2 linked regions of the Stegostoma tigrinum genome follow. The protein of the gene in region 1 purifies or fractionates together with the protein of each later gene. This does not show direct contact. Links are inferred from orthologs where the notes say so. Each region holds a gene or a part of one and is shown on either strand. Other genes may lie near its edges.

Region 1 (11,120 bases):
TCCTCATCTTGTGCTTTGCAAAAGGAGCAAACATTTAAAACGTATTCTTTTTGGCCCTTGCTCCTTTTACATGTAATTTCTCCCTGTACAGCCACCCAGATTCCTTGTGACTTTGAAAACGTCAACCAGATCTCTCCAGATTAGATTAGATTCCCTACAGTGTGGAAACAGGCCCTTCGGCCCAGCAAGTCCACCCCCCCCGCCTTGGAGCATCCCACCCAGACCCATCCCCCTATAATCCACACCCCCCACCGAACACTACGGGCAATTTAGCATGGCCATTCCATCTAGCCTGCACATCTTTGGACTGTGGGAGGAAACTGGAGCACCCGGAGGAAATCCACACAGACACAGGGAGAACGTGCAAACTCCGCACAGACAGTCACCCGAGGCTGAAATCGAACCCGGGTCCCTGGCGCTGTGAGGCTGCAGCGCTAACCACTGAGCCACCGTGCCACTCCATCTCTTCTTCACCTACTCCATTCCAAAGAAAGCAGTCCCAACTTCACCTAGTGTTTTCCTCAAGTGAAGGACCTCATCACTGGAAAAGATCATAAACCTCTTCTGCACAATGTAGATGATCACTATGATCCAACTGAATAGCGGACCAGGTTCGATGGGCTGAATGACCTACTCCCATGTTCCCATTCAGATGTTCAGGGTGAGAATGGCTAACGGCCCTAATAGCATTGCTAAACGAGGGGAGAAGGGGAAGACTGCATTGCAGGCTTAAAAGTATACGCTCAAATCAGGACATGTGGCTAGATGAGAATACAACAGATGATGAAGTAAAGTAACAAGGATCTACAGATACCACATACTTTATCAACATGAATTGTTTGGTCTTTTTATTTTCACTATAAAGCAAGTAAACACTGATTAAAAAAGAACAGACTATGCAAACACTTTGTACCTTGAAAACTTGTAAAACTCGGTGATTCAGATGGTCCCATTCCAGATCTGCCAGCCCCTTGGTTGGATGAGGAAAAGGTGATATTGCTTGGCTGGTTTCTCATCAACTTGGCATACTTCTTTTCCTTCCGATTGACTCCAGACATGGCTTTGCAAAGACAATATAATTAACACACTATCATAACAAAATATGTACTAAAATATCTGAAAGATCGCTTTACCTGCGGACAAACAGTCATCAGGGAAGAAAATCTACTGCCCCTTTTAAGGAAGTTGGGGGATGGCTTGGTGTTGGGGGCTGTATGATTCAAATTTTATTCCAAAGAGTTCAATTCTTAAAATAATTTGTAGAAGTAGCCTAGCGATTCATTTATTAATTAATGGGCTGTAATGTGACAGCCCATCATCACTACCTTTCCAGAGCAATGCAGACGGCAAATAAAGGCCAGTCCAAGAACAACAAAATTGATCTAAACATATATTAGAACTTACTGTTTGGTATATAGAAAATAAACATTCTTGTCACATTAGAGATACGAGGTTGACCATTGTACTATGATTCACCATGCAAACAAAAATATTTGAAACTATCCAGTATTGATAAGTTTGTATATCTTTAAAGTTGTTCAATTCCTTACCACATTATGATTGCAACTCAATATCCTTAAGACAAACTAATGGACATCATGCTGAAGTTAAACACATTTTAAGAATTTTTAGTAAAATAATTTAGTAAGATCAAACCACACAAAATAACAAATTGGCTCTCTGCTCTTGCTTTATTCATAGGAACTGGATGAGGCCACTAAGCTGCTCAAAACCTGTACTTCAATATTATGAGACATTAGCTATCACTTTCCATACAGGCCACCAATCATTATGATGTATTCTGTGGGTTTCACATTTACAGTTTTTAATGTTATTGGCTGCTGTGCTCCCAGATGATGTTAGACTGAACAAGTCAGATCCCAGACAAGAACCTTGCTTCATAGAATTGTATTGGTATTGGCAAAGTGACCTCCCAATGTTGCATAAGCATAAAATAATACAGATTTTGCTTCAACAAAATGGAAGTTTATTACAACAGGAACAAGGACAAAATTGAATAATCCAAACTATCTAACTAAAAAATATAAATTTAAAGATTTTAAATTCACACTCAAAGCATAATTCTATTAAACCTAAATTGCCCCTTTATAAATTGAATATAAACAAAACAGCTTTCACATAGTATCCATAACAAATCCCTGGTACAGTTTCCAAAACATCACTCATATAAAACTCACACTAGAGTCCCTGGATCTATACTTTGGTAAGTTTATGCCAATTGCGACTTCAACTTTTAAACAGAAACTGCAATAGCTTCTTCTTGGAGCTACCACATACCTGACTTTCACCTTATTCAGTTGTAAGTAACACCTTAGGTAATTTCTGTTCTGGGACTGAAACCAATTCTTGGCTTGAAGGTAATTTTTATTATTATATCTACCATTCCCTTCTCTGGTGTACTGCCATCCTACTCTAAAGACTTCACAGGACTAATGCTACCCCAAAGTCAAAAGTAAAACTAAAACTCTATCACACAATGTTTTTCTCAAGCTGAGAGAACACACATTCCAGAACTAACAAACATTTGAGGACCAAGATAACCAGGTTCAGACTGGGGACTAGATTTTGTGCAGGAGTTCAGTGGACTTTAGATTGTTTTACAATCCAAATAAAAGTCTATTAGTACATTAAATCTACTCACTCTATAGCTTCAAAACCTGTTCTTTAAAATAAATAATGATTGCACAAATAGTTATAAGTTAATAACCTGGCGACATGTGATTTCTGGCCCCATTCCCTGTATGAAAGGGAGCGGAATTACTGAAGTTCAACAGCACAGCAATGCCTATATTCTGAGCACTCTTTTTGCCCTAGTTGCTGCTAAATATCTTGCAAGAAAATTGACATGATTTGAACGGTTGAGAGTTATCAATATAATGCAATATATAATTCTCCAATATGTGAACTAAAAGGAATCAAAATAAGGGAGGAAAATTTGTTTGGCTAAATTCCATTTGCTAATGATAACCAAGAATAAAGAAATGTTTTGACCCAATTAAAATGAGTCTGATAAACCCTTCTCTTTTCACCTGCAACCGTACCCACGATCTCTTTTACTGCATTGCATCACTTCAGCAGCCTCACAAAAAAGCTATTTAATTTTCGATTCGTTTAAGTCAGAAAAACATTGTTGGACAAAATACTAAGTTTGAGTTTGATTTATTGTTGTCACAAATATGGTGGATTTGAAGAAAACCCTCCAGTATGTACATAGATAAATACTTAAACAGATCTGAAATTGGACTTTTTTCATTACTTTATCAGTATTCACTATTTTATCCCCTGACAACCATAAGATGGCACAACGTATAAAACTGCAGGCATTCAAAAACTTACATTTACATATCAACTTTCATGACATCAGAATGTCACAAAGTGCTTTGAATAGGAAAAATATTTTTTTGAAGTATATTCATTTTTTATGATGGAAAACACAGTAGCTAACTTACACATGAAAAAACCCAACTCTCCAAGCAATAAACTGATTGTTCTAAGGGTGTTTACTAAGGGATAAAAAATATTGGCAGGATAGCAAAGAGAATTCAAGGTTCATTCACATCCAGAGGTGACAAATACAGCCTCAAAACAATGCCTCATCTTTACAATTAACTGGATAACAGAAAATTTGCTACCATTTTTGGACACAGAAACCTAGAAACCAACAGCAGACGTTGGCTAGTTGGCCCTTCTTTCCTGCTCTGCCATTGAACACGAACACACTTCCTCTACCTCAAAAAGATATCCCTACTTTCTCCTCATTAGCCTTGATGCCTTTGAAATCTAAAAAAAAGTTAACATGTTTTCTGAACATATTCAATGTGCCTTCTGAGGTAGCAAGTCCCACAGGTTCACTACCCTTCGAGTCAAGAGATTTTTTTTTCATTTCAGACTTAAAGGGCCTGCCCTGCATCATGAGACAGTGATGACTGGTTCTATATCCCAAAGCAGGGGAAAACATCCTCTCAAGACCTAGACGATCCAGCTCTTTTGGATTTTTATACATTTCAATTAGATCCCTTCTCATTCTTTTAAACTCTACATCCAGGCAAATCAAGCTCTCCTCTTTCGGCCAGTCTGCCATTCCTAAAATTAATTTAATAAAATGTGAGGCTGGATGAACACAGCAGGCCAAGCAGCATCTCAGGAGCACAAAAGCTGACGTTTCGGGCCTAGACCCTTCATCAGAGAGGGGGATGGGGGGAGGGAACTGGAATAAATAGGGAGAGAGGGGGAGGCGGACCGAAGATGGAGAGCAAAGATGCTCTCCATCTTCGGTCCGCCTCCCCCTCTCTCCCTATTTATTCCAGTTCCCTCCCCCCATCCCCCTCTCTGATGAAGGGTCTAGGCCCGAAACGTCAGCTTTTGTGCTCCTGAGATGCTGCTTGGCCTGCTGTGTTCATCCAGCCTCACATTTTATTATCTTGGAATCTCCAGCATCTGCAGTTCCCATTATCTCTAAAATTAATTTACTCTATTTTTGTTTAGCCTCGTTGTTTCTCATATTTTAGTCCCAATTATGCACCTAATCCTACCCCAAATACTTGGACTTATATTGGCCTTCCTCACCTCTAAAAGGGAAACCACAGTCAGGCATCAGCTTAGGTTTGCGGCATCTTGCAACATTCAGTCTTCTAAGGTGACACGTGATTAAGGGGCAGCCGGATGCGCATGACAGGTGCGCCCACACCGAACATGCGTGAAGGCATCAGTACGCGCAATGCGTCAGGAGTGACAAGCAAACTGTATTATGACCATCTTGCCGCTACACCGTTAACGTGATCTTATTTTGCGAAGAGAATATCTTCGGATTACAATAACATACCGAGGATCTAGGCTGTCTTCAGACGAAATTTTTTTGGGTCGTGTCCACAGCAGCCGGTCACTCCCGCATCCCGAACTCCGACCAACGGTCCCGCACGTGAACCTCTTCTGCGGCGGCTGCGCATCCAATGGCATTCTGGGAGATGTGTCCAGTCCGGGACTACAAAGCCCGTGCTGCAGCGCGGGCTGGCTGCCGCATGCGCAGTGCTTGCTGGAACGTTGCTCAGACATGATGGCAGCGTTAGTGAGGAGGGTGATCAGCACTAGCAAGGCACCGGGGGCAATTGGTCCCTACAGGTAATCTCCCAAGAACGATGGAGTAAGATTATCCCCTTTAATTTTGAAGCGGTGTTGGAGATTGACAGCTTGTGTAAGGCATTCAAGAGGGCGCTGAATGATTATTTGCATAGCAATGGTGTGCAAGATATGGGGGGTGGAAGGCAGGAGATTGGGACCTGGTAATGATGCTCGTTTTGAAGAGCCCGTACGGCCTTGACGGACCGAATGGCCTCCTGCGCTATAACAGTTTTGTGTTTCGGTAAACACATGGTACTGCTGTCTTTCAACGGTAGTTTCTTTTTAAAACCAAAGCTCTTGCATTATGACACCTTTTGGAAGTACTTAATTGGTGATACAACACCTTTTTTGGGAGCTGAAGAAAGGAGCGAGGTAACTGCACAGTCTAACTTTAGGACAAGTAGTTTTAAGCGGCTGCTGCACAAGGCAAGATAATAAAATGTGAGGGTGGATGAACACAGTAGGCCAAGCAGCATCTCAGGAGCACCTGAGGTGCTCACCAGCCTCACATTTTATTATCTTGGAATTCTCCAGCATCTGCAGTTCCCATTATTGCTGCACAAGGCAAAGTCCTTTTGAAGTGTTATTACACCTCCCCTCTGATCATATAACTGTTTAAACACTGTGACAGAAGGGGGAAACTACCATATATTCTAAAAGGGTCTCTAGGTTGAAATGTTTTTACTTTTCTATTCAACTTGCAATGAACAGAAATGTGCTCCAGACCCTATCAAGCAATGGGACATATTTGATGCCACCATTGTAAGACCAGATTCACAGCTGCTAATTAATGCATAGCAAACTCTTGAATAGCACTGAGATTTTTGCATTTATTATCATCCAACTGTAGATCAGCCAATTTGTGCCTGAATTTTGTAATCTTAGCACAGTACTGTGTAACTTTTTAATACTCAGAGAGGAGTTGTGTGTTCCAAATTTTGATTACCTAGTTTATTAGCCAGTCAAATCGAAGAACCATTAGTGAGACCATGCAGCCTGAAGCAGAATGTGAATAGGAATAACGCAAAGTAAAATCAGTCACAGGAAGTGACTGAGAGGGGGAAATGGCATTCAGCAGGACAAGGCTTTTTTTTAAAAAAAAAGCTAAATAAATTCAGCAGAGAAAATGAAAATCACTTCTAACATGTGAAAATGAAGTTTGATTTCGATTAAAATGGTCATAGGCAGTACAAGAAAATGTGTGCCATGATTCTTGGCAGCAGTATTGTTTTGACAATAGTACGTTCCAAAGGTCACTTTCTTGCTGTAATATTAATCTGATACTGAAAGCCTGAAGCGAGGAAAAAATCGACGATGGCTACAAAACTGGTTTATGTCTATACTCCCAAAGCTCCGATTAGACTTGGAGTTTACAGGTACCATAGGAAGCCATAAGATTAAGTTATTGGGTTTATAGTGAACTAATCACTCCTCTTTAATGAGTGAACAGCCCTGTGCTCAGATGGGACAATGGTAACTCGACCTTTATCTGGCGATTACCGTTTTCTTTAGTGTAATGTTGGAGTGGTCTGCTGTTTAATTTCTACAGTACTGCGGGTTCTGCGCATGCTGTTTTTTGAATTGAACTGAATTAACTTTATTGTCACATACTCAATGAAAAGTTCACATGTTGGCACTCGAAGTGGCGACAGTGTTGGTATAAATGTACCTGGGTACAGCTTCTTTAGGTACAAGATTTTAAGCAATAGAGAAGTAAAATGTCCAGCATTGCAGAAAAAAGTTAAGAACAACAAACCACATGCACCTAGTTTCCACTCTGCACCGAGCCCTGGTTCTGCCTCGCTCTGGGTTTAGCCTCTAGGATAACGAAGCTGGGAGACTGCCGCGCTGGGCTGGGGGCACGCCATTCTTGGAGGCCGCCCTAGGTGTTCACTACAATAGACTGATGAAGTTGCCGCACCGTGCCGGGAGGTATCTACACCAGGCCACAGGTTGTCGGAATTCGGGAGTCACTGGAGGCTGGGATTTGTCGAGGGCCGGCAGAGAAAAAGTAAAAGAAACGCTAAGAGTAGGTGAGGGAAGAACGGGTGGAACAGACGAGCTCCGGCTGGATCATCCTACTCCACTGCCATATCTTTTATTACCTGTCACAGGATGTGGGCATTGCCAGCTCGGTCAGCATTTCTTTTCTCTTCCATTCCTGATTGCCCTTGTGTGGTATTCCTGTCTAAGCCACTGCAATCCTTTGGGTGTAGGTGTTTGTTAGGGATGGAGAACTGATCAGTTTGTATAGAACATAGAACATAGAACAGTACAGCACAGAACAGGCCCTTCAGCCCACAATGTTGTGCCGACCATTGATCCTCATGTATGCACCCTCAAATTTCTGTGACCATATACATGTCCAGCAGTCTCTTAAATGACCCCAATGACCTTGCTTCCACAACTGCTGCTGGCAACGCATTCCATGCTCTCTCAACTCTCTGCGTAAAGAACCTGCCTCTGACATCCCCTCTATACTTTCCACCAACCAGCTTAAAACTATGACCCCTCGTGCTAGCCATTTCTGCCCTGGGAAATAGTCTCTGGCTATCAACTCTATCTATGCCTCTCATTATCTTGTATACCTCAATTAGGTCCCCTCTCCTCCTCCTTTTCTCCAATGAAAAGAGACTGAGCTCAGTCAACCTCTCTTCATAAGATAAGCCCTCCAGTCCAGGCAGCATCCTGGTAAACCTCCTCTGAACCCTCTCCAAAGCATCCACATCTTTCCTATAATAGGGCGCCCAGAACTGGACGCAGTATTCCAAGTGCGGTCTAACCAAAGTTTTATAGAGCTGCAACAAGATCTCACGACTCTTAAACTCAATCCCCCTGTTAATGAAAGCCAAAACACCATATGCTTTCTGAACAACCCTGTCCACTTGGGTGGCCATTTTAAGGGATCTATGTATCTGCACACCAAGATCCCTCTGTTCCTCCACGCTGCCAAGAATCCTATCCTTAATCCTGTACTCAGCTTTCAAATTCGACCTTCCAAAATGCATCACTTCGCATTTATCCAGGTTGAACTCCATCTGCCACCTCTCAGCCCATCTCTGCATCCTGTCAATGTCCCACTGCAGCCTACAACAGCCCTCTACACTGTCAACGACACCTCCGACCTTTGTGTCGTCTGCAAACTTGCTGACCCATCCTTCAATTCCCTCGTCCAAGTCATTAATAAAAATTACAAACAGTAGAGGCCCAAGGACAGAGCCCTGTGGAACTCCACTCACCACTGACTTCCAGGCAGAATATTTTCCTTCTACTACCACTCGCTGTCTTCTGTTGGCCAGCCAATTCTGTATCCAAGCAGCTAAGTTCCCCTGTATCCCATTCCTCCTGACCTTCTGAATGAGCCTACCATGGGGAACCTTATCAAATGCCTTACTGAAGTCCATATACACCACATCCACAGCTCGACCCTCATCAACCTTTCTAGTCACATCCTCAAAAAACTCTAAGGTTTGTAAGGCATGACCTACCCCTCACAAAGCCGTGTTGACTGTATTTGATCAAGCCATGCTCTTCCAGATGGTCATAAATCTTATCCCTCAGAATCCTTTCTAACACCTTGCAGACGACAGACGTGAGACTTACCGGTCTATAATTGCCGGGGATTTCCCTATTTCCTTTCTTGAAGAGAGGAATTACATTTGCCTCTCTCCAGTCCTCAGGTACGACTCCAGTGGAGAGCGAGGATGCAAAGATCTTCGCAAGTGGCGAAGCAATTGCATTTCTCGCTTCCCAAAGCAGCCGAGGACAAATCTGATCCGGGCCTGGCGACTTGTCAATCTTAATGTTTGACAAAATTTTCAGCACATCAGCTTCGTCTATCTCTATCCATTCCAGCATGCACACCTGCTCTTCAAAGGTTTCATTCACTACAAAGTTCGTTTCTTTCGTAAAGACAGAAGCAAAAAACTCATTTAGGGCTTCCCCTACCTCCTCAGGCTCCACACACAAGTTCCCTATGCTATCCCTGATCGGCCCTACTCTTTCTTTGACCATTCTCTTATTCCTCACGTAAGTGTAAAATGCCTTTGTGTTCTCTCTAATCCGTTCTGCCAAGCCTTTCTCGTGCCCCCTCCTGGCTCTCCTCAGACCATTTTTGAGCTCCTTCCTTGCCTGCATGTAATCCTCTCTAGCTGAACTTGACCCTACCTTCGTCCACCTTATGTAAGCTACCTTCTTCCTTTTCACTAGAAGCTCCACCGCTCTCGTCATCCAAGGTTCGTGGTAAATTTTCTGTATTTTAGATTTTGGACTGAAATGGGAAAATGTTTTTAATTTATAAGTCGGAGAATGGGTATAATTTGTGAACCAGTCGTTCTGTGCATCCTGCAACGAACTGAAAAGTACAGGAAGAGAGATTGGAAAAATAGCAAGTCTTGCCAAGTGAAAAGATCATCTCAGCAAACCCTGTGGAAAAGGGGCCATTGAACTGATCTGGTGTGTCTGATGCAATCATGGCAGCATGGTCACAGTATTAATCCCTGATTTTGCAAACACTTACACTTGTTCAAATCATTTTATCTTTAATGCATTCATCAGGTGTAGGTGTTAGCTGGGCTAGTTTTTATTACCCACCCTAGTTGGCACTTGAATTGACTGGCTTGCTAGGCCATTTCAGAGGGCAGTTAAGAGCAACCACCTTGCTGTGACAGGAGGTATCCTTCTCTAAAGAATATTTGAACTAGATTTCTGTGGAAAGCAATCAATGATAGTTACATGATTGCCATTAGTTGCCCTTGGGAAGCAGAGGCCTTCTCGTATTATTCTATGGTGTGCTTTATGAACACATCCACTTTTTTGTTTTGCAGCCAAGCAGTGGTTGTGGATCGCACCATGTACATTTCTGGTCAGCTGGGGTTGGATCCTGCAACTGGCCAGCTTGTAACTGGAGGAACAGCACAGGAAGCAAAGCAAGTAATATCTAAACTTCATTAACAACAAAATCCCTGGCACACTCTCGGAATACTACAGCACCTATGGTGGTGTATGATATTAGATTGGATTCCCAACAGTGTGGAAACAGGCCCTTTTTTGGCCAAACAAATCCACACTGCCCTTTACAGCATCCCACCCAGACCCATCCCCCTATAACCCACACACCCCTGAACACTATGGGCAATTTAGCATGGCCAAGCCACCTAGCCTGCCCATCTTTGGACTGTGGCAGGAAAGCGGAGCACCTGGAGGAAACCCACACAGACACAGGGAGAATGTGGAAACTCCACACAGACAGTTACCTGAGGCTAATTTTTAAACCCGGGTGCCTGGTGCTGTGAGGCTGCAGTGCTAACCACTGAGCCACCGTGCCGCCCTAAATGAGGTCTAGCAAGTTTTTGCTTGCTCCTTCAACGAACAAATCAGTTAGTTCCATTTTTTCCAGCTATTTTTCTGCAATTTTTTTCTCCACATATTTATCCATTGCCATTTTGAAAGCCATGATTAAATCTGTATGCACCAATAATGCACGGCAGACCGTAACCACTTGTTACTCAAACATTTTACCTCATGTCACCTCTGGTCTTTGCAATCACCAGAAATCTGTGCCCCCTGGTTATTGCTGCTTCAGTCATCATAAACCATTTCTCTTTATTTACTGGCACTAGACCCTTCACCTTAAATACCTCTATCAAATCTCCTCTAACCAACCCTAGTTTCTCCTGTCTTTCTGCATAAGTGATCACTCATACCATTCTTACAAATTTCTTCTCTACTCGGCTCAAAGCCTTCTCTTCCTTCCCAAAGCCCAAATTATGCACAACACAACATTCATATATAAATGTATAATAGCTCTGACTGCTTTTTATTGAATCATAGAATCCCCACGCCACAGAAGGCCCATCAAGTCATTCATTGTTGAATCATCTCAGAGCTTTAATTTTGTAAACATCCCACTTCCCATATTTTCCATTCTTTGGTTTTAATTGTATAAAATAATTTTTTGACCATGTTCTCCCCCTGACTCG
Region 2 (10,806 bases), on another chromosome or scaffold:
TCCTTCTGTTACAACCCTTGGTGCCAATGCTTGAATGGTCACTAGTAGAACTGTGCCCATAAACTATATTTCCATTTAAGCTCAGAAATGTCTAAAAGACACTGTCAACATTGACAACAATGTATAGAAGTCATGAGCTTTCAATAAACCTTTGCTCTATCATATTCTTATTTGATCACACGATCTTTCTGTGTTATAGTGGAGCAAATAAATCTCTACAGACTATGAGTTCATCTGAAACAGCAGCCTCTACCTGCTGAGAGACAGGGAACACACAAAACAGGAAAGTTCCTGAAAAGGGATAAAATTAACTAAAAGCAATTCAGGAAGGAGTCTCTCGTTAAAAATAAGGAACTTATGAGTTGAATTTGTACATTTAGAAGCATGGAAAATTGAAAAAGGCAGTGAGGTGGATGGATAAAACTCGCAAACACTGAGGAAAGGCTCTTGGTGGAAATTAAATGCAATCCAATACTTTGTTTCATCCTTTTTATCCACTGGAAACATGGCAAGATTTGAGGAAGTCCCAGGGAGAATACAGCCCAGTTCCATTCCAAAGTAAATTCCTAATCAACAAGAGCTGAGTTTGCCTGTTATCCGAGTCACATCTGAAGACATAAGAAGGACAGAGACAAACATAAAAATTAAAACACCCACCTTTCTGTTTAACGGGGAAAATTAAACTGAAAAGGAAAATCCCAAGACTTGCAGACTCTGGAAACAGAAAGTGCCGGAAAAACTCAGCAAGTCTGGCAGCATCTGTGGAGAGAGAGAGACAGGGTTAATGTTTTGGGTCGAGTGACGCCTCATCAGAACTGGACGAAATGCGTTTTTTGCAATATATCTCACCCAGTCTGCGATCTTTGGGAACTTTGCTTTCATGCTGGTTTTGAAGTTGCAATAAAGTTTCCCTTCCTTTATGTCTTCTTTTTGCTTATTGTTCTAAAGGCCTTCTAACATTCAGGAACTTAACAATGCATCTCCACTGTATCATGACACACCTACACACAGTATTAATTTTCTCTGTGCATTTTAATGTTTACAAAGTGCCCTATAATTGTATAGATTGGGTATATAGTCTAGTATATATGATAGAAAATTCAAAACAACTTCCTGTTACAGCACAACTCCAGAACAGATGGGATTTGACTGGGCCTCCTGGCCCAGCAGTAGCGACATTATCACTGTGCCACACAGAGCCCCTGCCATATTTTCTTTTCTATTTCAACCTGTTCAGAGGTGGATGGTATCACGCACCTCTGCAGCAAGCTGGAGTTGAATCCGGGCCAACCAGTCTGGAGGGAGGCATAGTACCACTGTATCGCAACAGGGCCCTTGTTAGAAAGTGATTTTTTTTTACCATGTTCAGAGATGTTATGACACATAACCTAGTCCAGCAATAGGTACACTACCACTGTAGCAAAAGAGGGCCCTCATAACAAAGTGAGAGAACAAGGTGTAGAGCTGGATGAACACAGCAGGTCAAGCAGCATCACAGGAGCAGGAAAGCTGACGTCTTGGGGCTAGACCTCACCACAAAGTGATTTTATTTAACCTGTTCAGAGATGGTACGACTCATCTCTGGAGCAGGTGGGACTCGAAGCAGTGCTACCCAGTGCAAGGGTTGGGCCAGTATTGTACCAGAAGAAGGCCCTCAGGAGAAAGTGATATTTTTAACCCGTTCAGAGATGTAATGGACATTATTACTGCACCAATACAAGAGCCCGCAGGGCAAAATGATTTTTTAACCTGTTCAGAAATGATATAACACCCTCCTGGTCCAGGAGTAGGGGCACTACCATTGCACCATAAGAGGGCCCCTTGTGGCAAAGTGATTTTTTTAACCTTTGCAGAGATGGTCTGACACATCCTCTGGAGTTGGTAGAACGTCAACAAGGATGGGGGGGGGGTCTGGTCCAGGGGCAGGGACACTACCGCTGCACCACTAGGGGGCCCATCATAGCAAAGTGATTTTTTAAACTGTTACAGATGCTCTGACACATCCTCAAGAGGTTGTCAAACATGAGCAAGGATGAGGGGGAGATTGTGGTCTAGGAGAGGAACACTACAGCTGCACCACAACAGGACCCCTCATGGCAAAGTGATCTTTTTTTCAATCTGTTCAGAGATGGTCTGACATACCCTCTAGAGCTGGTGGGACTCCAATAAGGATGGGGGAGGGGAGGGCACTGGTCTATGAGCAGGAACATTACCGCTGTACCACAACAGGTCCGCTCATGATGAGGTGATCTTTTTCCGACCTGTTCAGAGATGGTCTGACACACCCTCTGGAGCTGGTGGAACTCCAACAAGGATGGGGCTGGGGGTGGGTGGTGTTCACTGGTCTAGGACCAGGAACACTACCGCTGCACCACAACAGGACCCCTCATGGTGAAGTGACTTTTTAAAATATGAACCTGATCAGAGACGTTATATCACACACTCCCGGTGTAGGGGCAAGGGGCACTATCACTTGTGCCAGCGGTCTGTGTGTTACTGCTGGGGGTTCGGGAGGTAAGTGTAGCCGGGGAAAGAAGCGCCCTCACTGGCCTCTTCCCCTTTGCTGAGCTTCGGGACCGTCTCGCCCCCGCAGCAGCCGCCGCTACTGTCGCTCCCCCGGGAGCGGCGCTTGATGCCCCGGTTGACCGGGGTGAGACCTCGCTCCTCTTGCCCCGTTCGGACACCAGCGGCCGGCTCCGGCCACAGCGGCGGTCCGCAGTCCGGAGGCTGGTAGCCGGCTTCGGCCGGGTCCAAGGGCTCCTTGGATAGCAGGATGCAGACGGACGGAACGGTCTTGAGCAGGGTGAGGGCACCCGCACTGCCGGCGGTGCTGCTCTGCCAGGTCTCCCGCAGGCTCCTCGGACGGAGCTTGGTGATCTGGTGCAAACCTCCCAGCCTCCGCTTCATTATCTCGGCGCAGGTGATAGTCTTGGTGACCGCCCGGCCCGAACCGCTGAATACTATCCTCCGCGTCCCCTCCAGCTCCATGCGGGCCAGCGCGAAGCCCATCAGGTTGCGGATCTTGCTGCCCTCCTTCACCCGCATCTCCACCGTGTCCGCCGGCAGGTCAGCGAAAGGCAGGGGGCTCTCCTCCTCCGTCCGCCCGATCTTCCGATAGTTTGCCATCTCGCCACTTGCAGCGGAGCCCTGCATCTCTCTTTTGCAAATGTACTCTTAGACCATGCACCAACCCCCTGCCATTACCACTCACACCAAATTCCCAAAGTGTCTGACTTGGTTTTCTGGTTTGGAGTCAGGAAAACCATCCAAGTCCTTTAATTTTGTCCTCTTCGTTTGCAAAAAATACGCAAAATCTTTTCTCTGCTCTTCCTTTGCAAGAAAATTATTTTCGTCGTTTTCCTTTTGCAAAACTGGGCAAAGTCATTTTATTTTCCTCCTGTGCAAAGGCTGACAGTTTTTTTTCGTCGCTGTTTTGCAAAACTAGGCAAGGTTTTTCTTTGCTTTCCTCATTTGCAAAAACTGAAAGACTTTTTCAGTCGTTGATGTTTTGCAAAACTGCAAGATTGTCCCTTTGCAAAACTGGCCAAAATCCTACTATTTTCCTTCCTGTGCAAAAGCTGACAACTTGTTTTGTCGGTGTTTTGCAAAACTGGACTCGTTTGTTTTATTTTCCTCCGTTAGCAAAACTGAACAAAGTCCTTCTCTTTTCCTTCCTGTGCAGAAAACTGACAAGACTTTTTTTTGTCGTTGTTTTGCAAAACTGGGCAAAGTTGTTAATTCATTCCTTCGCAAAGATGGACTGTCTTTTTCTGTTCCTTTGCAAAACGGTGCAAAGGTCGCTTTCTAAACAAAAACTGGCAGCTTCTTTTTGCCGTTGGTTTGCAAAAAAACTGGCCAACGTTTTTTTTAAAGCAACGAACAATTTGGGCGAGATTAGTTTCACTCCATCATGCTCCAGGATAGGGGGGCAGCAACGGATTCAAACAGTCATGCAAGCTCCCTAATGTTTGTGTTTTGTACTTTGCGTCAGCTCCATCCATCAAGCTGCGGCCATCACTTACTTCCCGTTCTCCCCGCGACCCTCGGCTGCTCGTTCCTCAGCGAAATCTCCTCCCTCGACAGCCGGCCTGAGAGTAATCCAGGATGGGGCAATGCCTCCCCATTTCCAACGCGTCTTGTGTTTTAACCACTTTCAATTGCAAGGCGCGGTTAAGAATGGGGCGGGGGGGGGGGGGGGGACCGTTTCTCTCCTGATGCCAAGGCAAAACTGTTTGCAGCATCTGTACTGAACAGGGTGCAATCTCTCTCCCTCACTGTCCCTGTGACGAGATCCTGATTCACGGCGAATGAATGTCATTTATTTAACCCCTTCTGCACCAAGCTCCTCTCTGCGGCGTTTGCCTCATTCTATCTGCAGCACTTTGCGGTCCCAAGCAGTGACTGACAAGTATCTACCCGACAGGAGAAGGCTGTTCTGCCCCTTGACTGTGTGCTAGCTGAGTAAAAAATAAATCCCTCCCAGCAGAATTCCTTTTTTTTTCAAATTAGGGTTTCTGCCGCTATCACCCTTTCAGACAAGAGAGTTCCCTACCGCTCTCTGGGTGAAAAACGTACTGGAATGTAGGATGCTGAGGGGTTTATAAAATCAGGATGGGGTGAATAGCCAAGGTTTTTCCTCCAGGATTGGGGAGTTCAAAACTAGAGGGGCATAGGTTTAAGGTGACAGGGGAAAGATTTAAAAGGGACCCAAGGGGTGACTTTTTCACATAGAGGGTCGTGCATATATGGCATGAACTGCCCGAGGAAGTGATAGAGGCGGGTACAATAATAACATTTAAATAAAGATTGGACAGGTACATGAATAGGCAAGGTATTGAGGGATTATGGGCCGATGGGACTAGTTTATTTTGGGAAAACTGGTCAGCATGGACATGTTGGACCAAAGGGTCCCTTTCCGGTGCTGTATGACTCTAAGACTGTGTACTCATCAACTCCTCTCCGTCCTTCTTCCAATTACTTTAACCTGTGGATATTATTCATGGACACTATATTATGTGTGTTTTCAACATACTGAATGGATATCATGTGATATACATAGTAGATCATCCTCCTTCATCCTGACTTAGAAATATATCACTGCTCCTTCACTATTACTGAGTCAAAATCTTCCTAACAGCATAGTGGTGTGAAAGCAACACACCACCGTCTTCTGGAAGGCAGTTAGGGATAGGCAATAATGCTGGACCAGCTAGATCCACAAAGAACTAAAACAAAAACAGCAATGACAAGTAAATGGAATGGAGGTACAAAAGGCAACCCATTAAGCAGAATGTTAAATGCACAACATGGCCAATATTGAAATACGGCCACAATAAAACCTGAAAGAACTGCAGTAAATCAGAAACAAAAACAGAAGTTGCTGGAAAGGCTCAGCAGGTCTGGCAGCGTCTGTGGAGAGAAGTCAGAGTTAACGTTTCAGGTTGAGTGACCCTTTCTCAGTTCTGAACTATATGGGCTTTCCTTCACTATTACTGGGTCAAAAGCCTAATCAATATGGACAGTAGTAGATCGAGGAAGTGGCAGCTGAAATATAGAGGACACTTGCCTCAGAGAACAAGCTAGGAGGGCTGTTACACAGCTCTCACCAAAGAATGGACTCCCCTATTGTTTCCATCTATCCATAGAAGCATTTACAGGCTCATACCTGACCTGTTTGATCATTAGATACCCATTGACTATGGCCCCCAGGCCCTGGGGTGGAACTTGAACTGAGACCATTCATCTCAAAGAGCAGTACTAATACCCACTATACCACAAGAGCTCCTGCAGAAAATAATGCACCAGTACCTTTTGAGGGCAATTAGCAATGAGCACCAAATGTTAATGTCACCAGCAACACCGACATTGCATGAATAAATAAAAAGAAAATAAATTTAGGGTTCATCTACCATTTGGGCAACAATGCTGAAATGAGTCTGTGCCAAACTTTTACTTCAAGCATCTTGCAAGCAGGAAAAAAACAATGAAAATCAAATCACATTTGCTGGTTTTGAAAGCTTGAGGAACGGAGATGGTGCACTACCTCTTTTGAAGTCTCCATTGTCGATGAATGAGGATTTCTTTCATTTTCTGTATTGGCATATTATAAGCTTTTCAATTTGGGATTCAGCGTGCAAATATCAATTGACCTCTGAGAAATCCTGAAAATGTCAACGATTTTACAGGAAACTCCTCATAAATACCCCCACGCTCTCAATGCACTGGGCAACCTTCCCATATTCGGTTGTACTCTCGACTCTGAGCCAGAATCATAACTCCAGCTGCAGGAGTTCTGCATTACCAAAGGTGTCACCTTTCAGATCAGATATGAAACCAAGGCTTTTTCTGCGCTCTCAGCTCAGTTGTAAACATCTTGTGGCTCGTTTTGAACAGCCAGAGAGTACTGTCCTGTGACCGGGCCAACAAACACCAGAGGTGTGGATTAGTTGGTGATTATTTAATTGCTTCACATGGGTGCATGCTGTGTGCAAGTAGACTGCCCGATACTTCCCTACATAACGATTACTACAATTCTAATAACATTTAATTGACTGTAAAGGACTTTGTTCATTCTGAGACTGTGAAAGGTGCTATGTAACTGCAAGTTATTTCTTTTTTGTTTTCTCAAGATGTCCCCAGACATAAAACATTCCCAGAAAAACATCACCTGAAAAGATGCTCAGAGATAGTAGGAACTGCCGATGCTGGAGTCTGAGATAACAAGGTGTGGAGCTGGATGAACACAGCAGGCCAAGTAGCATCAGAGGAGCAGGGAAGCTGATATTTCAGGTCTGGGCCCTTCTTCAGAAATGGGGAGGGGAAGGGGGTTCTGAAATAAATAAAGACGGCGGGGGGTCGATGATAGAAGGTGGATAGAGGAGCAGATAGTTGGAGAGAAGACGGACAGGTCAAGGAGGTGGGGGTGAAGACAGTAAAGGTGAGTCTAGGTAGGAAGTTGGGACGGGGGTTGGTCGGTGAGGTGGGAGGGGCAGGTAGGTGGGAGAGAAGATGGACACGTCAATGAGTCGGGAACGAGATGGGCTGGTCTTGGGATGAGGTTGGGGGTGAGGAGATTTTGAAACTTGTAAGGTGGATTTTACAAGCTTCAAAAACTTCCCACCCCCGACCTCATCCCAAGCCCAGCCCATCTCGTCCCTGACTCCTTGACGTGTCCACCTCCTCTCCCACCCTATCCACTCCACTCTCTATTTATTTCAGGGTCCCCTACCCCTCCCCCATTTCTGAAGGAGAGTCCAGACCACAAACATGAGCATTCCTGCTCCTCTGATGCTGCCTGGCCTGCTGTGTTCATCCAGCTCCACACTGTGTTCTCTCAGACTCCAGCATCAGCAGTTCTTACTGTTTCTCTTGGCTAGGAGATTGGCAAGGTCTGGAACACATTTGGAATGTATGTTGGAATATTGTCAGGATCTATAGCCTTTCCAGTAGCCATAGACTTCAGCCATTTCTCGATATCATGTGAAGGAAATTTGGTTGATGCTGGGACCACTGGAGGTGGATGGGATGGCTTGGCACTTCTAGCTTGTTGCAAGTGTTGTAGCTTATCTTTTGCACTGATGTTCCAGGGTCCCATATTATGGAGAATGGGGATAATTGTGTAGCCTCCTGCTCTAGTGCGTTGTTTAATTGCCCATCTCCATTTGTAGCTGGGTGTGGCATGACAGCAGATCTTAAATCTGATTTATTAGTTACTGAATCACTTCACTCTGTTTGTCACTTGCTGCCTATACTGTTTGGTACACCAATAGTCCTGTAGCATCACCAGATTGATATTTCATTTCCTGATAAAGACTTGAAATGCTTTTTTCTCTCAGATGCTGCCAGACCTATCGGAGTTTCTGCAGTAATTTCTATTTCTGTGATACCTCATTTTAGCACCTCTGCTTAGTGCTGCTCCTCTTACGCCCTCCTGCACTCTTCATTGAGCCCTTGCAATATGCAATGCCTTCAGCTGCTTCTTGATATCACATGGAGTAGTATCTGTGATGCTCAGGACCTCTGGAAGAGCTCGAGATGCATTACTCTCTTGGCACTGCTGACTGAAGATGTTTGCAAACGCTTCAGCCTTATTTTCTGCATTGTTGTGTTGGGCTCTCCTATCATTGATGATGGGAATATTTATGATGTCTTCTCCTTCTGTTAATTGACCACCACTGCTCACAACTGAAATGACGGGACTGCAGATCTAAGATCTAATCAGTTGTTTATGGATGTGCACAGTTCTGTCTGTCACTTGCTTCCTTCTACATGTAGCCCTGACTTGTATCTTCACCAGGCTGATACTGTAGTGATTGTAACAACGTCAGCCAGGTTGACCTTCATAGAGCATGAGTTCTCTGACTGGGGCTGTTAATTTCAGGGGGGCAATGGCCTAGTGGCATTATTGCTCGACTGTTAATCCAGAGACCCAGATAATATTCTGGGGATGCAAGCTCAAATCCTTCCATGGCAGATGGTGGAATTTAAATTCAATAGACATTTGGAATTAAGAATCTAATGATGACCATGAATCCATTGTCGATTGTCGGGAAAAACACATCTTTCCTTCCCTAAAGTATTCTTTAGGGAAGGAAACTGCCATCCTTACCTGATCTGGCCTACATGTGACTCCAGACCCACAGCAATGTGGTTGACTCTGAACTGCCCTCTAAGCAATTAGGGATGGGCAATAAATGCTGCCTAGCCAGCAACACCCTCATCCCATGAATGAATAAGGAGAAGAAAAGATCTGGTCCAACCTGGCTGACAGATATAAACAGGAATGTCAGACATCTTGCTCACCCTGAGAGTTGGCTCTGAGGAAGCTGGATCAGTGTCAAGGGCTCTTCATGTGTAAATAAAGGGCATCTTGGTGATGCCATTCCAGCCTCTGTGGAGTCACTTCAATACTGTACGTTTAGATATACTGAAGGTTTTCTCCCCGATATGCCCCCCGAACTCTTCATTGAACCATGGTTGATCTTCTGGCTTGACGGCAATGGTAGAGTGAGGCATAAGTAGGTTACTGAGGACACACAAGGTGAGCTTGAATATAATCCTGCTGCCGCTGATGGTCTACAGTGCCTTATGGAAGCCCAGTTTTGAGTTTCTCGATCTATTTAAAATCTATCCCATTTAACATGATAGTAGTGCCAGACAATACAATGTGGGGTGCCCTCATTGTGAAGATGTGACTTCATCTCCCCAAAGACTTTGTGGTCATCAGTCCTACAAATTCTGACATGGACAAATGCCCATGTAACGGATAGATTGGTGAGACTGAGATTGAGTAGATTTTTGTCGGTTCCCTCACTACCTGCCACATGTCTGGTATAGCATCATTGTCCTGTAGGACACAGCCATCTCTGTATGTATTGTTCCTGTCAAGCCACTCTTGGTACTGAACATTGAAGTTCTTTACCCAGAACATGTTCTGTGACCCTGCCACCAATAGTACCTCCTCCAGATAGTGCTCAATATGGGGGAGAGCTGATTCATTGGATGAATGGTGGTGTACCAAACTCTCTGATTGGTCTGTGCTGAAGGTGGAACAGATCATACTGAGGGGTAGTGATGGCACTGCCTGGGACATTGTAAGGTATGATTCGCTGAGGGTGATGCCAGACTGTTGCTTGATTTGTCTGTGGGACAGCTTTCCCAGTTTTGGCACTGGGGACATTACAGGATGAACAGGGTTAGGTTTTCTATTGTAATTTCTGGTGCCGAGGCCAATACCAGGTGGTCCATCGCTTTTATTAATTTTGGATCTCCTACCCACTTGATACAATGGAGACAGTTGCTAGAACATTTCAGAGGACATTTAAGAGACAATCATTGCTTTGCGTATGGAGTCATGCAGATCAGCCCAGATCAGGACAGCAGATTTCTTCCCTAAACTTGCTGGGTTTTCATAGCAATTGACAAGGATTTCTGGCCATCATTAGCCTGGGTTTTAATTTCATATTTGTCAAATGAATACACAGGCAGTCCCCGGACTGTGAATGGATTCTGTTATTGAGTCTGTTTGCAAGTCGATTTGTAAGCAAGTCAGAACACAATGCAGGACAATACAAAGCACCTGTGCATTAGTACAGAAAATGTTAAGATGTCAGGCCGTTGAAATGACACCCCTGTATGGGATGGTATGCGTAAGTACGAGCATTTGAAAGTCAGATCCGCTGGTATATCTGACCATCCAACCCAAAACACCAGCGCATTCGCCAGTGGCTCTGGATTAGTCAATAACATTACCACCATCTCCCCTGTCCCCAGCCAAGGACCTTCTTTTAACTTTGCATTTTATTTATTGAGTATGGTTAAACATATGTACGTATGCAGTCTTATTTCTGATCATCTTATGTAACCTTGTTTCATATCAAAAAGTTGCTGCATTAAAAAGACTTACACAGTGCAAAGTTGGAAGTATATTCCCTTCAAGTTCATATTTGCATTCAATGCATCTGCAGGAAATGTCTTCAACAAAGCCAAGATTTAAATCTGTGTATTTGCAGGTAGAGTACAATGTAGATAGTGTACTCAAAGATGCATTATTTAATTTAAACCATCATATGAATACTTGTCTAATCCAGACATTAACTGAAATACATTCGGTCAAGTCTAGACAAAAGTCTTTCTGTTTTCTGGAAATCATGTTGGCTCCTTTCCGTTTTAAATTCCGCTGTCCGCAACAGTGGGAATTGTATCCACAATCTGAATGCATTAGCCTAGGGTCTGAATTCAAGAGAGAATATGGCCTAAAGGTATCATTGCTAGACTATTAATCCAGAGATCCACGTCCTAATTCAA

The links. Proteins that work in one complex are often made in the same cells at the same time.
Region 2: the proteins of pop1 (region 1) and ribonuclease P protein subunit p25-like protein purify together in Homo sapiens (affinity purification with mass spectrometry; 3 studies listed by BioGRID and IntAct, counting the BioPlex papers as one, with this or other methods). This does not show direct contact. The link is inferred for Stegostoma tigrinum from reciprocal best matches to the Homo sapiens genes POP1 and RPP25.

Annotation. Positions count from the first base shown.
Region 1 is NC_081358.1:122,561,931-122,573,050, forward strand, and holds the start of pop1 (ribonucleases P/MRP protein subunit POP1), read right to left. Parts: upstream 4,750-11,120; 5' UTR 4,616-4,749; coding exon 4,588-4,615; intron 1,061-4,587; coding exon 914-1,060; intron 1-913. Other genes in the region: rida (2-iminobutanoate/2-iminopropanoate deaminase), read left to right, coding at 5,072-5,139, 9,966-10,071. UniProt on the Homo sapiens protein: Component of ribonuclease P, a ribonucleoprotein complex that generates mature tRNA molecules by cleaving their 5'-ends. Also a component of the MRP ribonuclease complex, which cleaves pre-rRNA sequences.
Region 2 is NC_081389.1:16,612,092-16,622,897, forward strand, and holds the start of ribonuclease P protein subunit p25-like protein, read right to left. Parts: upstream 4,177-10,806; 5' UTR 3,154-4,176; coding exon 2,494-3,153; 3' UTR 850-2,493; exon of another isoform or gene 760-849; 3' UTR 1-759. UniProt on the Homo sapiens protein: Component of ribonuclease P, a ribonucleoprotein complex that generates mature tRNA molecules by cleaving their 5'-ends. Also a component of the MRP ribonuclease complex, which cleaves pre-rRNA sequences.